Linked DNA regions of Saccharomyces cerevisiae S288C. The protein of the gene in region 2 interacts with the protein of the main gene of each other region in a biochemical or structural test. Each region holds a gene or a part of one and is shown on either strand. Other genes may lie near its edges.

Region 1 (13,002 bases), on a different chromosome or scaffold from region 2:
TACCACCATTTATCATAACCAAATGTCTCACCTTTCTTTAAGGTATAAAATTTTTTATAATCATTATCATACGTTCTTTTCCAAACGTTGTTTCCCCACCAGCTGAGCTTACCACCTGGGTACTGTACACACAAGAAGATGATGACGACGGAGATTGCCACACCTGCTTCAACACCGGCCCCCATGACGAAATTGTACTTATTGAACCAAGCTCTCCATCTTTTTCTTATCAAGTTTAGGCAGAATGACATTGCAAAAAATAATGAGTAGTTATAAGGTGTGCTTGGTGGAATATTACCTGGGCCTGTGAAAAATACAGGAGTATGAATGTGCTTAGCAAATTTAAATTTAGGGAATTTCCATTGAACAGCATAAACGGCTAGTGGGAATAGCAAACCAATCAAGAAGAACCACATCAGCGGATTATAAATGCGCCCTGATGAGAAAAGATACTTTGGCAAAGACCAGATAATGGAAGCATTGAAAACCGTGCGACCATTAGCACAAGTGAAGCCATTTGGTTGATCGGTGGTACATAAGCCATCGATATTATGCATCATCCATTCCTGGACACCAACGTTAACCATGCCTGATATGATAGTGGCATAGATTTGAACGGCAAAGATCAAACGAGGGGAAACCTTCATGTACATGGCTAATTTCAAATCTCTACTCAAATTCAAGCCTTGTCTCATGACAATAAATCCGTATAGCTTGAATAATAAGTTTGCCATTGGTCTTAAAGGCAGCATATAACCGCAGATCAATTCTGTGATAATATTCAAACCTACGTGTTGGTTAGTCATTGCTTCCAAGATACCTTGCGGGATGAAATTTACAAGGGAAATTAATATTGCAATAACAAATGCCCAAGCTGGGAACTTAGTATCGAAACAGCACACTGCTACAAATCCTAAACCGATCATGACAATCTGCAAAAGTAAATACCACCAATCGGGACAATCCTTATAGTTCTTGGAGTAGATTCTCATGTGAATGTCAGTGCCACCATTTTTACGGTCTTTAAACTTGGCGACAATATCTTTACCGTGGTATAAGATGCAGTGGACAAAAACGGCGATAACAGCGGCAAAATTTAAAGCATACGACAAAAGATAGGAAAATGGAACGAATACCGGTGAGTATTCCTTATATTTCTCAAGATTAATGGAATAATCCTCGTTAAGAATCTTTGTTACGTTGTATTTGTTTTGAGTGTTGTCATAAGTAGAACCTGAAATGACGGGCATGTATTTGGCATACCAGGTATTCGTAAAATAAAGACATGGCAGCACTATGACGAAGAATATCAACACTGATGCATAGGTGTTGGCGGAGACGTAGAATGGTGTGGCGAAAACAGAGCCGGACATGGCTTGGGAAACCTGGGTGTAGTCAAATGTAATTGGCAACGCACCGAGACCACTTTGAGTACCAAAGATTGTGTTAGCGATGAAATTGTGTCTTGTCTTCGACCCCCATAGGATAACGTTGAAATAGGACAGACCGGTAAAGAGGAATCCAGGTACCCAATACCAGATGAACGATCCGATAAGGACGATTAAGAAGAACCTGTAACGGGGCATCGTCCAACCATTTGCGACTGTCTTTTCAACTTTTCTCGAGTGCAACGAATCAAACAAGGACACTGAAATTAAAGTCTGAGGCCAGATAGAGCTTGCAGGGTTGACGACCCATCTTCTGGTAAGACCTGCAGCACCATAACCAATCATTTGAGATGTCCAAACCAACAAGAACTGATATCCGACATTAAGTTTCATGTTGTAAAAGCTTCCCTGGGCGTTCAAAATGTACATAGCGTATGCAGTAGAGGAAGTAAGCGCCACGGCAATTGTGACCACGGCGTGTTCCTTTTTGGTAAATGGGCCCGGGTTTAAATCGAAAAATGGCACTTTAGAACACTTCCAGTCGGGCAAGAGAGCCAGTATCCTACCAATTGGGTAGCAAACAACTTGTGCAACAAGGAAGTTGATCTCTAGCGATGGATATCTCAGGGAAAAAAATTGATTAACACCGGCGAAAACTACCACAAACACCGTGGTCAAGAACCACGTTCTCCAGTGGTTGAGGCGGATGGTGGGGTCATCCTCGATGGACACCGCCGATCTCACTTCAGGATATGGAGAATTGGGCAAGTATGTAGGGTCGCCCTTCCAAACGAGACCTTCCTCCTGTATGGAATGCCTGTCGAATTTTTGGCTTTCCGGATCGCGGTCCTCCTCATCAGTAGTCGCAGTGAGATTATTGACGTCCTCGTCAATATTCTTAACGAAAGCATCTTTCTTTTCCTCTTCCATATTGATCTGGATAGGAATGGTTGTTGGCGTTGGCGAGGGCTCCGACTCCAACGAGTCGCTCTCCCTATAAATGGTACTCATGTGTTCTGTGACGTTATATAATTGTTGCGGTTATTTTCTGCCACACAGTCGAAAACTTTTTACCAAGAATACACAGCTTCCGATGATTGTCCATATATAGTCGAAACAATTCATTGAATAGCCCAAAATTTGAAAAAAAAAGAAAAATGATGGGCACCCCATGATGATAAGAGCTCTCTTTCTTCAACAACGATTGCTAAGGCGTTTACAGACCCATCGACTGCCCTTGCAGTGGGTTTGATGTGATTAACAGGCAGCAGCAACAAGCAACTGCTGAAAACCTTGGTGCCTTGCAGACGGCTATTGTCCTGGATTTTGTGTGACAAAACGTAGATGTGGCGTCTTGTAGTCGGAGGTGTGGCGGGCCGGAAAAATAGTGGAAAAAAAGAAAATTAATGCGATAGCGACGGGCAGGTAGGGAGGTTTGAGGGGTCCGTAGTATGCGTCTATCGTTGCAACAAGGGTGACTAATGCCATGTCTTGGCCTTTGATGCAACGTCTCGGAAGTTAGTATCGATCCGAGGAGTGGAACGGATGCGATTTCCCCTCCATTCTATCGATAAGGTTGCTGGGAAACGCATTATAAGGGATGAGTGAAGACGGAGGGAAAGCATAACGAGGAGAGATTGCCGAGATAACTGAGAAGACGTAATCTAAAGGCAACGCAGCATGTCTCGAGTTGCACAGCTCGACTCGATAGCGCTTGATAAAGAATTGTATGGACAGTTTTGGTCCGAGTTCAATGCAGCATTCAATACGAGTGAACACAAAGAGGAATGGGAGTTGGCACTGAACACAGTTGTGTTTATGTGCGCGACGAGGTTCCTGCCACACTATGGCTCTAGCTGTACGTATGGATCCGCACTCAGTGGCGTGGTTTTTCAGTGCAGGAAACGCACCTTGTATGTCGTCACTGTCTTGGCAGGGTACGTGTGGAAGAAGATCACACATATTATTTTTAATGGGCCGCACTGTGGGAACCAGATGATGTGGCTGAAGCTGTACAAATGGGTTAATTTATTGTATCACGGCTGTGATGTAACCAACTTCCTGAGGTTTCTAGCAGCGGAAGGGCCCAATGCGAGGGCGTTTTTGTCGCCGTTATACCGGGCTTTTAATGTCCATTCCACAAGGTTGATTCGGGATGGTTCTGCAATTGCCTCTGAATTTTATTCGAACTCTGTATTCGCTGGGTTAGAATACCAGAATAGACAATTGCTATGGAATGCACTATTAGAACTCTTTTCCAATACACTACTTACGAAAAGAGGACTCTTGACCTTTGTTAAAAAACCACCAAGGTCTCGTTCTACGACTACTTATAAGACAGTTTGCCCCCGTTGCGGCGGTTTTCCAACCAACCCATACCAGATCGCTTGTTGTCGTGCGAACTACTGTTACGTGTGCGTTGTAAAGGCGTTGGAGTGGTCTATGTGCGATGCCTGTGGATCCTCTGGGAGACTGACCGCCTCACCAGTGTACTAAAGGGCCCCGTTCCCTCGCTTGTATCTCTATATATGTGTATACTATATTCATATTCATGTTGTCAAAATCGGTCACGTGGTAAAGGGTCTGGTTTTTTTTTTTTCACTTTCTGCTCAAGAAAAAAAAGAAACAATAAAGAAGTGGTATAATATCATCATGGAACGCTGTACGGGACGATGTGGGAAGCGACGTCTGAAATCCAGTAATAATAAACAGTGAGCACTTTAGGATAGCAGTAGTTTGCATTTTGCACGTTTCCCTTTCCATGCAATGTTTTTACCTCGTCTCGTTCGGTACAGGACCGAGAGGTTTATAAAAATGGTACCTACCAGGACCTTGCGACGAATCAACCACAGCAGCAGGGATCCAATTCAAAAACAGGTCTTGGCCCTTATCAAAGCAAATGCGAATTTAAATGACAATGACAAGTTGAAAATACGGAAATATTGGTCTGACATGGCGGACTACAAAAGTCTTCGGAAACAAGAAAATAGCTTACTGGAAAGCTCTATATTACACGAGGTCAAGATCGAAGATTTCATCAGTTTCATCAATCGCACAAAAACCTCATCTATGACTACAAGAGGAATTTATAGAAGAGAATGTTTGTACCAATGCAAGAAAAACTTGGATCTAGTCAATCAAGTGGTCTCCCAAGTTTCATCCGTAAGACATCAAAAGCCCTTGACTACGCAATTGGATACTATGCGCTGGTGTGTTGATGATGCCATCGGCACAGGAGACATAGTTATGGCTGCCGACCTTTTCCTGCTGTACTACAGATTATTTACAGATGATAAAAAGCTAGACGAACAATATGCTAAGAAAATAATATCAGTATTAGCGTACCCAAACCCACTGCATGATCATGTTCATCTAGTCAAATATTTACAACTGAACTCTCTGTTCGAAAGTATAACCGGAGGCGGAATAAAGTTAACGAGGTTTCAATTAGAAACTCTTTCTAATAAGGCCCTCGGCTTAAGTAATGAAGCCCCGCAATTATGCAAGGCTATACTGAACAAACTGATGAATATAAACTATTCTTTGACTAACGATTTGAAGCTTCGGGATGATCAAGTGCTGCTTGCGTACAAGTCCATTGATGAAAATTATAGAAGAGGAAATGTTGCAAGTGTGTATTCTATTTGGAACAAAATCAAAGAGCACTATGTTTCCATTTCTGCACATGATTCCAGAATCATTTATAAAGTCTTCAAGATTTGTACCCATAATAGAGCCTATAGATCTATATGTAGCGAAATGTTTTGGCAATTAACTCCAGAGTACTATTGTAATAACCCTTTGATATTACCGGCAATTATTGACTTCATTACAAAGCAAGACTCTTTAACAATGGCCAAGGAACTCATGCAGAACATTAACAGATACACTTTACCCGAAAACCATCATATTGTCTGGCTTAACAAGAGATGTCTTTCTTCATTGCTAAGAATGCATTTGAAATTTAACGATTCTAACGGTGTAGATAGGGTTTTGAAGCAAATAACAACAAATTTCAGGGCGCTTTCGCAAGAAAATTATCAAGCAATAATTATTCACCTTTTCAAAACACAAAACCTCGATCATATCGCTAAGGCAGTCAAATTACTCGATACTATACCCCCCGGACAAGCAATGTTAGCCTATGGGTCAATAATTAACGAAGTAGTTGATTGGAAATTGGCTTCAAAGGTCAAGTTCACCGATAATTTGATGGCACTTGTAAACGATTTGTTGACGAAGGCACATGATTTTGATCCTGACCACAGAAACTCTCTTTGGAATGTGGTTTCCGCTTTATACATTAAAAAACTTTGTCATTATAAAAAGCGAGATGGTAAATTTGTTGCCAATGCCAAGAAGGATATCGATTTGGCAAAACTACTTTATATAAATGCTGCAAAGAGAAGTAAAACATACTGGACAAAATCGAACTGTAACCCATTCATTGCATCCTCCCCATGTGATGTCAAATTAAAAGTGAATAATCAAAACAGGTTTACTATTTTAAGGAATATTGCATTAAGCGCACTGCAGATAGGAAGAACAGACATTTTTCTTTGGGCGTGCGCAGAACTATACCAGAACGGTATGACGATTGAGGAATTGAAGTTAGACTGGAATTTCATCTTAAAACATCAAATTAGAAATTCAGAGTTCAAAACAAACAAGGAGATCATACAAGATATTAAAAAGCATGGTGTGTCGGCTGTCAAACGTTACTTAAGATGAACGGCCAAACGCACATTTACGATATAAATAACAAAGCAAATAATAACAAAACAAATTTCTGTAAATATATACTAAATCCAAGCATTGCATCCTAATTCTTTTCTTTTTTTGATCATCAAATAAATGTATTATTTTATGTTATATGCGTTAGACTTGTTATATTCTTTCATGCTATTCTATCGTTGTGTTATGAATTAATTTATATTTACAGTTTTTCAGTACATTCAATTCCTTTTTTTTGGAGGAGGTAACAATTTCACATCTTTCGATTGTTTGATCGCCGCGTTAGAGAAATCTCTCACTACAATTTGACAATTTACCTCTTTGCATAATGCCTTCTTCTTTGAAGGTGGTACTTTTTGCAGAAGTTCTAGCCCAGTACTTCTCTCTAAAGCATCTATAGGAACTTCAAAGTCAGTCAATTTCGTCTCATTTGATATCGGTTCGTTTGGCAATACAAATGCCGCGACAGCAATATCCTCTCTAGCAGGATTGGCTGTTGGTGCTTCTGCAACAATCAATTTAAAAAAGTGCGTTGGAACAGCAATACTGGGTGGATTGCCAATAACTTCATAATTAACCCTAAATTTATTATCTATGGGATCCTTTTTGGGTAGATACAATGGACCAGTCACGATTCTTACACTCTTATATTTCTTAGTCAATCCCCTACAAAAGTACTCCAAATGCGCCCAATAGTCTCTATTAAAACCTTCTCCTACTTGAGGACACATATTGGATAAGTAGAATGTATCATCCATGGCCTGTTGAGAAAATTTTGCGTCTGCAGCTGGGGCTTGATGGCCTCGATCATAGCCCGACCTAAAATAGTCTCTTAGTTTACCTCTAAACTTTTCTGGAATTACTTCATCTTCCTTGAAAAAGGAATTTTTTCTGTCAGCATTCCTTGCAGCCAATGATTCTGGCGTTATATGTTCGAGGACCCAATAAGGATTTTGAGTTTGTCTGTTGTAACATGAGATAAACTCTTCGCGGTTCTGCAGATCATGAATCGGACCAGGAAAACCATACTTGAAGAACCCGGAAGGATCGACGTTGAAAGAGTGAGATTGAATATTACTATTAGGTTTCTGGGTAGGTGGATAAGGTGTCTCAATGATTTGCGTTGGAGAATGTTTGTTCAAAAGAAGATAGGTTAAGCCAGTACCAGCACCCAGTCCGACTAAACCGGACAAGAGTATCCTACTGCACATGATAACTTTAACTTTGGGATCTAATAAGTGGGGAACTTAACTAAATGTTCTTATCTTTATACAATTGTAACTCTATAAAAACTAACAAATTACTTGATGAGTGACCAATAACCAATTGCACCATTGATATTTTTTCACAGATTTTATTTTTTTTTTCTTTTTTCGCGATGAGTTTTATTTCCGTGCATATGCATCCGACTTGCAATTAGTCGAAAGATTTCAGTTGAAAGGCCTCTTCGACAGAGCCCAAAGACTGCGATTTAACGTATGCCTCCATCACGGAACCTATAATTGCTTTTTGTTGAGGACTTATAGTGCTAGAAATGGCTTCTTTAAATGAATTTTTGTCCAATTTAGCCAAAGCAACTATGCCACTTGCTACTTCGTTGTCTATTTTCTCTGTATATGCGCTATGATATGCGGCAAAGAAAGAAAGACATAAAGCAATTGACAATGATGCCTTTTGGTGATCTTGTTTGATTACTTCCTCGGAAAACTGAATTATCAACTTAGTTTTAATGCTTGCCTGCGATAAGGAATCGTTTGTTTGAATATCTTGAAAGAATCTTTTTATAACCAACTTCATAAAATACTGCAACAACGGGTATTTGAAAATATTAGATATTATTCTCTTGAAGCCTTGTAGAGCAATTGGCTGCGTAGCAGGATTATTCAATGCCTCCGAGAGAATATTTGCGCACTGATTCAGTTCCTGAAAACTTAGCTTAGAGTATCCATTAGACAGCAAGATCAAAATGGTTGCAACTTTATTCTTTGAATCCAGCTTATGATAAATAACATCTTTTATTGACCCGTAGAATATTTCTAGTAACACAATATTTTTTTCGTCCTCAGATTCCGTAAGCGCTTTTACTAGTGCCTTGAAAAGTGGGAGTATGATTGGAATTATTACTTCACGATGACTACATTCATAAATTTTCCCTATGATGAATAAAAGACATGAATAAAGATCTACTTTGAACATATTGTCGAAGTTACTGATATTTGATTCGAACGCAATAAATGTTTTTTTCAACAGACTAATATCTGTGGGAGAGATTTTTATTTCATTATCATCTTCTTCGCTGGTAAGCACGTTATACTTAATAAATGGCAACCTCTCAGAAATAATTGTCATCAGTAGTCGCAGTAGCTCATATAGTTTGTCAATATCTTGTAGAAATGTTTCAGGAGTAGCATTACACTTCGAATACCCAATGATCAAGTCACTGATGATATCAACAAGCAAAAATTCTTCTTTACTGTCGCCTGTAGAAATCAGTCTGTCCATAATCTCAACAACTTCAGTAATAATATCATCCTCAAATATACTTTTTATGCACAGATTGCTCTTCAAAACATTGTGTAAAGCCGGTAAAACTTGCATCTTGACTGAATGATCATCAATATTTTTGACGATAGCCTCCAAACATTGGCTAAATAAAATAAAAAGAAAATACTCTAATTCCTCATCGTTAAGAGATGCCAAAATGACTTGAACGTCTGAATCCAGAGTGCACCCAAGGGCCTCTACGAAATTTAACCAGACCGGTTCATATAACTCAATTTTCGTACTTCTTGGTTCAATGAGACTATTTTCTTTCGAGTCATTCTTTACTTGCACAGTAGAATCATTATCGTTATACTTTATCATCATGTATTCACGTAAAGAAATGATCCATAATGGGACTAAAATGCTCCAATATTTCCTGGTAAAAGAGAAAAGCGCATCATTTGACGACGTGATGGATCTTTGCACTACCTCAGCCCACGCATCCAAAACGGCAAGTTCAATTTTTCTTTTCGCTTTGGGTGTAACGATTATAGCTTCCCCTATCCGTATACCGGAATTAGGATCTTTAAAGTTACCAAGAAGGTCAATTAGTAATTGTGAAATTCTTCCCAATTTATCTGGTGGCATTATATTCGATGCCAACACTTCAGCAGCAACAGTAATAGCAAAGGACATTACAGTAGGTGAGCTTCCTTTACTAAAAGCAGGCATTAATGCGCTAGTTATTTGGGCCTCTTGCTGTTCTAAAATCGACGATCCAGGAACCTGAGGATCTCTCATGGTGGAGTAGTTCTTGAGAACAAAATTCAAAATGTGTAGTCCCGTTAACTTCATGCCTTCATTCCTCACTGTAGATCCACGAAATGATATTTTAATGAGATCTGCAATTTTGTTGCTGAGGGCAAGGAGCAGATTTTCATATTTTTCGGATTCTAAGCACAACATTAATATTAAATTTAAGATAATCTGTCTGCTCTTCCATTGCAGGTTCTCAGAGTCGAGACCACCAGCATCTGTGTCAGTCAGTTGGTTAACATTCGCTATTGATTCTTCTTCTTCGCCTTTAATTTCCTTTTCTGAAGATTTTTTTAGGCCATTTACCTCTAGTAGGGCTGAAACGTCTCTGTTATAGCTTTGGAAGAGTCTTCCTAAACTCATATTAAATATTGAGTATAATTTATCGAACCAATGATTATCTCTTTTGAAAGTATGTAATATCCATTCGGTAAAATAATTCTTGACAGAACCGGAATTTGGAAAAAGTGCGAGATATCTCCAGCTCAAATTTTCCATTTCTTTCATGAAAAATTCCTCCATCTGTAATTTGTACAACAACGTCAATAAATCAAAGTTTTCAAAGGCGCCTTTCAGACTTGAAGTTCGAGAAATGAGTTCATTTGAGCCCGTGAATGTAGTGTCAAAATATGATGAGCCTATTCCAGTCACTATTGAACTTTTAATTATGCTCTTAGAAGCAAGAATAAAGATTTCATAGTTTAGAATGTTTTTCATTTTAAAAGTAGCTATGTTTTCAAACATTTTAATGCTGGTTATGCTGTTGAGAATATTATTTGAAATTAACATGGAGAGTGTAATGTTTCTGAACGAATCAAGAACCTTGGTGTTAAGTTCTAGAAAATTTGGCCCCACAGTTTCAGTCAATGTCCTTGAAATTTCACCGATTGCTACGTGAGAATTAAAGTCCCTATTATAGTTACAGCGAAGAGTAGAGCGTCCGTAAATACCATACTTATCCTGGACCAAAAGCTCTTCCATAGAACTTAGCAACAGAGCTGCCGTCTTTAAATCAATCACTAAATGTTTCTCAAGAAGAATATGCATTGCTTTCAATGACCATGAATGAACAACAGGGTGTGGATCCCTCATTAATGCAAAAATTACATCAAAGTATTCTTCAAAATTAGCATATTGTGAGTTATATTTAAAAATTGTAGCCAATGATAAGACATGAAACATCCTTAAGTATGGTTCGTCCATATCTGCGACGTTTTTAATGAATATTCTTGATTGCTCTGTAAGGAATTTTTGTCTTTCTTCATCGCCAAGTGTTCTTGCGATAGCCGCTGTCAGCAATCCTACACAATCTGCCTTGATTTTTGTGAGAAAAATGTCATTAAAAAACTGAATCTTCTTTATTGATTCGATAATTAGCTGCCCCACTGAATAGTCCAACTCTAGATTGTTTTCTTGCATGATGCGTAAAGCATTATGCAGAGCACTACAAACATTAGCAGCCACAGCCACGCTTCTCAATGGTGTAGTCATTTTGGAGAACATGGACAAATTTAAAGTTTCCATAATGGAATACTGTATTTTGCTATTCAAAAAAGGGAATACAGATGAAAAAAGTTCCATAGAAGAGTCGATTAAAGATGTAGTGACCTGAGGTGCGTAGCGGTCAATTTGGGAATAAGACCCAGATCCATATAGTAGAATCAGTGAATCTAAAGATAAAATGGGTGAAATTGGTTTTGATACTTCTACTTCGAAAATATTGTACCAATTGTAATCCTTGGATGGCCAACTTCCACTTATTGATTCATCATACTTGTAAGCACTGGACATCGATAAATTCACGATACGGTCCCCAGTTATTTTGCTGGATAGGCCGAATGCAAAGCCGTTGTTTTGACGAAGTAAAGTATTAATTGAAGATTCTAATACTATATTACTTTCCATGTCGTCCTTGTTACTCACTTTCCTGTTACCAATATCTTTCAAGCTTCCCAAAACGGAACTACTTGACTCGGTGTAAAGATTGGGATCTGAAAAATTCTTCACGATTAATATTAGTAAAGAACTATTAAAATCGCTATTTATGTATTTCTCCAGCTTAAGGTATACCTGTAAAATTCTGTTTTCATTATGCAGTAAAGCATTGTCAATGTTTTTCGATTTCAGGTCAATGGAATGATTAAAATTGGAGCACTTAGTTAGCAAATATGATACTTGTTTAGCCATTTCTTTATCAATTGTCGTATTGCTTAAATACGTCAATAAACAAGTCAATGCATGATTTCGGATTTCTAGGTTCTTGTATAATTCATCCTCGTCGTGGTATGTGTAGGTATGTGTTAATAAAACTTTCCAGAAAAGAAATAGTTGGGGTATCTGCAGCTTCAAATACTGTTCATCTTTATAATTCATCAATCCTATCAATAATATCCAGCATAAAAGACCCTTGAAGTACAAATTAGAAGAGGTAGATGTAGTATTATTCTTAATGAATGATGTAGAAAACACTGTAATTCTCATGATCAACTCATAGGAAATATAATCGCTCTCGGCACCTTTGATTAGATTTGCTATTATAAAAGCATGGCCATGATTTTTATGAAAAATAAATTTTCCTGTAGATTTAAAATCAGTGGATAGTGCACGTAAGGAGTTTTCAATGGTCTCCGAAAGATATTCTGGACAGTTGTTCAAAAAAACCTTCAAAATTTCCACAGTGTGAACTCGTATCGTAAAGATTTCACATGTAGCTAAATCAACCAGTTTATCTCTAATCTCTTTAACGGTATTTTCCTCAGTGGTGAAAGTAGAACCTAAGTCGCTGATTAACACATACGTGAAGTCAAGCTGCAGTAATGTAAGCCACTGTGTTTCAGGCTTCGCATCAATACTATATTTGAAATTTGAAGCTGAATCACTTTTAGAGGAGCTCTGGTAAGTATCAGAACAACCTAGGATGTAGTACAACATTTGAGTCTTTGCAGAATCATTCAAATGTGGCAATATTACTTCATGCATATGTTGAAAGTATCTCAAATACCTTGATAATGTATTCATGCTCCTATTATTCACTTCGTAACTGCTGAAGACGCCGCTTAAAGAGAGAACTATATCCAAATATTTTGAGTTACTCAAAAAAGTGTTGTCAGCTAATAAATTCAAGTTTATCAAATGAATAATAGATTCGAAGCAACCACTTTCCACGTCTCGTGTATCACAGTTTAAGAATATCTTAACGTAGATGGACCATACTTCTTGTAGAGTTAAAATATTTTTAGAAAAGTAATAATCAAATAATATCTCCGCTAAAGATTTTGCGGTAAAGATACGAGTTTCGTCGTTTGCAAAACCATAAACACCTATTTCACCTTCGGTAAATCTAGAATATATGGTCTCTATAATATCATGGGAGTGCTCTCTGATAAAATTAGTTTGTTTGAAATGAGCTGTCCAGCATTCAATTAGGACAGACACAAAAGTAACTGAAAAGTCCTTCTCATCAGTGGAAATACTGTCAAAAACGGTTTTGGATAGTTTCGAAAATTTCGCATATGTGGCTGGATCAAGGATTTTATCATCATTATTGGAATTTCTTAGAATCGCATTAAAAAGCTGAAGA
Region 2 (4,873 bases):
CATTCTGAAGCTAATCATATTATTTGATGAAAATGTAAGATTTTGCGAATCATTTGAATCCATCTTAAATCAAAGATTGAAGCTTGGTAAAATTCTAAGCATCATAGAAGTGGATCTAGACAAGAAGAAAAACTTTCTTGACAAACTATCTCCGGGAAACAACAACAGTAACAATGAAGACCTTAAGATACGCACGGCAGAGGATGAATACCGCATTGTATTAAAAAGATATAACCGTGTTAAGCAGAGCTGGGAGAAAATTATGGAAGATATCTTAAATGAACGGAAAGAATTTGAGAAGAGAGAAGCCGCCGAGGTTAATAGTTGTTTAAAATCAATAAGAGATTTGAACATGGATGAAAAGAAACACTATTTACAATTATGGCAAGACTTTGTACCAGATGAGCACATAAGCCAATGAATATGTACATAATAACGTAATTAAAGAAGATAATTTACTACTGAAAAAGCAACAATATAAGAAGTTAAGATGAATTATACTAATTTTTCTTGTGTTTCTTAAGTTTGACTTCCAAATCTTGTACGCTTTCAACGTCATCAACATCTTCTTCTTCTTCCTTTTCTTCAACAAATGCCTTATTCAGCAGTGGAAAAATACGCTGCTGTTCACCAATTTTCTCATAATCAACGATCATACTGTCGAAAGCAAAACAAAATTCTCTCGCCATCACATCAATATTATTGTCTAATTGGGGCAATTTGGGATATCTCTGGGAAAAGTGTGTTAAGATCAACTTCCTAGCATTCATTTTGTTCGAAACACCGATTGCTTCATTAATAGTGCAGTGTTTTTTCTTCACGGCATCCTCCAGTAGCTGATTTTCTAGTGTAGCTTCGTGAATTAATAGATCTGAATTATAGCCTATTTCGAGGGAAAATTTCTCGATGTTAGGTCTTGTATCGCCTGAATATGAAACCTTGAATGTATTATGCTCATTGTTTTCGTCCATTCGGAAGGTAATTGAGTTCGAATATGCCCAGTCACAATGTATAGCTCTGCAAGTTTGAAAATATTCTATCGATAAATCCTCATACATTTGTCTGATCAAGTCAACATCCCTATATGAAGAATCTCTATCCAGTTCCAGTTTTCTGTTTGATTCTTGATTGCTATTTTCTTTCAATATTTCATTGAACTCTGCCAAAGGAACAGATTGTGTCTGCATTCTTACAAACGAATCATTGATGAAATGCTCACAACTTATGTATTTGATTCTCTTTAAAATCTCTTTATTTTCTAGAACTAACCATTCATTAACAAATTTGTGATATTGCCATGGAGTAACCACATATATATAACTCGTTTCATCATCCTTGTTATATTTGTACCATTCATTTAGCACGCTGATTATTCCCAAATGGTGGTCTGCATGCAAGTGACTCAGATATATCATTTTCAAATCCTGAAATATTGACTTGACTGCTAGCTGAGAAAACATCCTGTGTATGGTACCTAAAGTATTTTCACCAGCATCTAGCATAATGTTTCTATTTATGGTATTTCCATCGGCGTCAGTAAAAGGAACTTTAACAAGTGTGGAGACAACGTTTCTATATTTAGAAGGCAATGCACTACCGGTTCCTAAGGTGATAATTTCAACGTGTTTCTTCTTTTCTGCTGAATTGTTAAAGTTATCCACGTGTAGTTGATTATTGATAACTGTATCGACATCAGCTAAGGGAAATTCTAATGGTTTTACATGTTCTTCGAAAATTTCTTGCCACGAGAAATCCGCCACTTCACCGTTGATGTTGCATTTCATCGGTTCTTCGTTCATCCGAAATGGTTCGAAAGTTACTGTCTTGTTTTGTGAAAAAATATGAATGTTATCCTTCTCTATTATTGTATTCAAAGGCTCTTCCTGGGATTTACACATAGATGTACCTCTGCTGAGTGGTGTATCGAATCTGTCGTAGAAGTCCTTGGAAAACACACGATCTGTTTTTGGTAAATTGTAATTATTTACTTGTAGTGCCTTTAATTTCAATGTGGTCAATGCAGAACCGAAAAATGATATCGTGTTTGGAGAAATTTTATTGTGGGATATCATATGATTTACTTTACCATAATTGTTTTTCTCAAATATGTCAATGAACGCGAATAGATTATCATTAATGGTAACCTCATCACCAAGAAAATAATACACCATGCCAAGCTCAGCACAATCATAATCCTTGAATTTTTCTACGAAAGCGTTCAAATATAGGTCATCTGGGATATCCAGGATCAATACTTTGGCAAAATGACGTTCATTCTCCAATACCTGTTCCGGAGTTACAACAATACCGTTATCCAAAGTAATTGTTTGGCCCTTGGTTAACTTTGCAAATAAGGGACCCTTCGGAACACCTAGTTTAATAGCTTCCTCCACTTTAAATTTACCCCTCACTGGACTGAATGAAATCTCGTAATTCGTAGAAACTTCCACTTTGGCGTCTAAGTCAGGCAACTCTACATTCAAGTGCGGATCACTAGAAGGATCGTACCTATCGGTGGGTGCATGTTTGGGGAACATTTTTGCTACTATGGAACGTAATACACCTTTTTGAAAACTATCGAAGACGCCTAACCTGTCTTCCCCCCCATTTTTCAGAACATTAAAGGATTTAACAGCTATTATCTTATCTTTATATACTTCCTTGTCTTTCATAATGTGATCGTTCAAGTCTATTCCGAATCTAAAGACGAAGTATCTCCAAGTGGAAACTATGTAATTCAAAATGTCATTGCCGTAATGCAAAACAAGATTACTTTTCCCTTGATCAGCAATAGTCAAAATCATTCCAGGTAATCCACCTATATCTGACCAGTTTAATTCACCAGTAAGGAAAATATCCTTCAATTTGGATATCCTGATCTTATTTTCAGTCAGACTCCTTTGGGATCCTTCACCAATTTTACCGAAGAAATACTTTTCCCCATGTGCAGACTGGACTAGCAGCAATGGGTGCTTTGTATCCGATGTAGGATGGGTGATGGGTATAAATGTGAACATCGTTGAAAACCTTCCAGGACTCTTTTCTTTGCGGGTGGTCGTTCTATTAGTCTGTTGCTTTTTAGGTCCCTTTCTGTATGATTTATACCTCCTGACCAAATGGGAAAATGCAGATGAGAAGGATTTCAAGTGTGAATGACTATTTAGTAGTATATTCGACAGTTTGAATTATGCTTGAGGAAGATTATTTCACTGCCGCTCTATATCCTTTCGGGTATTTTAGAGAGAGAAAAGGAGGCAAAAAACAACCACCTAGACAGAATCATTAAAAGGTGGTATGAACTGCCGAAAAAGGGCCCAAGACAAGGTTTAGGATGCTAATTATGTCTTCCCTTTACGTCAGTTATAGATTATGCGATGCCCAAAAATTTTTTTCACTGCGGGTAAGTGTTCTGAAATACCGAGCAGTTACTATGTAGAAACGCTACGTCCTCGTTTGAGATATCAGTGGGCGATATTAATGCAACCAGGAATACCGCAACCCCATTACAATGGCCTAGCAAACATTCTGTAACAGCAATTTTGATTTGTTGAGTGGGTTGCTCTTTTTTTTATAGCATGACAATGATATCCGTAGGAACAGTGACATCGTATTTCAAATATGCATTCGAAAAAAAATAACCCAACTGAGGCTGTAGTATATTGTTTATGCAGGCTGTCACCTCCATAAATTGATATTTTATGGCATTATTCGCTACTCCAAGGTACCCTAAGAGGCCCTACTTTTTTGCGAAAAACCCCAAGACAATTTATTCTTTTCCTAGTCCAAGTCCTGACAAAAAATGAAAGCCCTGCGACTCTTTTTGGCGGAGTCAGCCCGAATCAACACAAGCCCTAATATTCCCAATGAACTGGTAAATAGATTTCTACAACGTTGTAAAGACTAATATTACTGTCTTTACTATTATGATATATTGACTCAGTAGAAAAGGAAAAAAAGCAACTACGCAAAGTATTTAAGTGCCTTGCAACCAGCTTCTTCTTGGGCTGAGATACAATACCTCCTTGTCTATTCAAGTGTACAGTATCGCAAAGCACAGTAAAATTAATTCCTATCAACACAACCCATCAATATAAATCTATAGAGAAATGTCGAAGCCTGGTCGTACTATTTTAGCAAGCAAGGTCGCCGAAACTTTCAATACCGAAATAATTAACAACGTAGAGGAATACAAGAAGACACATAATGGTCAAGGTCCCCTTCTTGTGGGATTCCTAGCTAATAATGATCCTGCTGCAAAGATGTATGCTACATGGACTCAAAAGACTAGCGAGTCAATGGGGTTCCGCTATGACTTAAGGGTCATTGAAGATAAGGATTTTTTGGAAGAAGCGATAATACAAGCTAACGGCGATGACTCTGTGAACGGTATCATGGTATACTTTCCTGTTTTCGGTAATGCTCAAGATCAGTATTTGCAACAGGTTGTGTGCAAGGAAAAAGATGTAGAAGGGTTAAATCATGTTTACTACCAAAACCTGTACCATAATGTCAGATACCTGGACAAAGAAAACCGTTTGAAATCCATTCTACCTTGCACACCACTAGCTATCGTTAAGATATTGGAATTCTTGAAAATTTACAACAATTTGTTACCAGAAGGAAACAGACTGTATGGGAAGAAATGCATAGTAATTAACAGGTCAGAAATCGTCGGTAGACCACTGGCGGCGCTATTAGCCAATGACGGTGCCACAGTATACTCTGTGGACGTTAACAACATTCAAAAATTCACCCGTGGTGAAAGTTTGAAATTAAACAAGCATCATGTGGAAGACCTTGGGGAGTACTCTGAAGATCTGTTGAAAAAGTGTTCTCTTGATTCAGATGTGGTCATCACTGGTGTCCCTAGTGA

The links.
Region 1: the proteins of TRZ1 (region 2) and NUC1 form a complex in vitro, tested with the Saccharomyces cerevisiae proteins (one study listed by BioGRID).

What each region holds. Positions count from the first base shown.
Region 1 is NC_001142.9:33,851-46,852, forward strand, and holds NUC1 (ribonuclease), read right to left. Parts: upstream 7,334-13,002; coding exon 6,344-7,333; downstream 1-6,343. Other genes in the region: oligopeptide transporter OPT1, read right to left, coding at 1-2,399; PEX2 (ubiquitin-protein ligase peroxin 2), read left to right, coding at 3,069-3,884; CBP1 (Cbp1p), read left to right, coding at 4,155-6,119; AP-1 complex accessory protein LAA1, read right to left, coding at 7,539-13,002. UniProt on the Saccharomyces cerevisiae protein: This enzyme has both RNase and DNase activity.
Region 2 is NC_001143.9:586,289-591,161, forward strand, and holds TRZ1 (tRNase Z), read right to left. Parts: upstream 3,018-4,873; coding exon 501-3,017; downstream 1-500. Other genes in the region: VPS501 (sorting nexin family protein), read left to right, coding at 1-421; MTD1 (methylenetetrahydrofolate dehydrogenase (NAD(+))), read left to right, coding at 4,107-4,873. UniProt on the Saccharomyces cerevisiae protein: Zinc phosphodiesterase, which displays some tRNA 3'-processing endonuclease activity. Probably involved in tRNA maturation, by removing a 3'-trailer from precursor tRNA.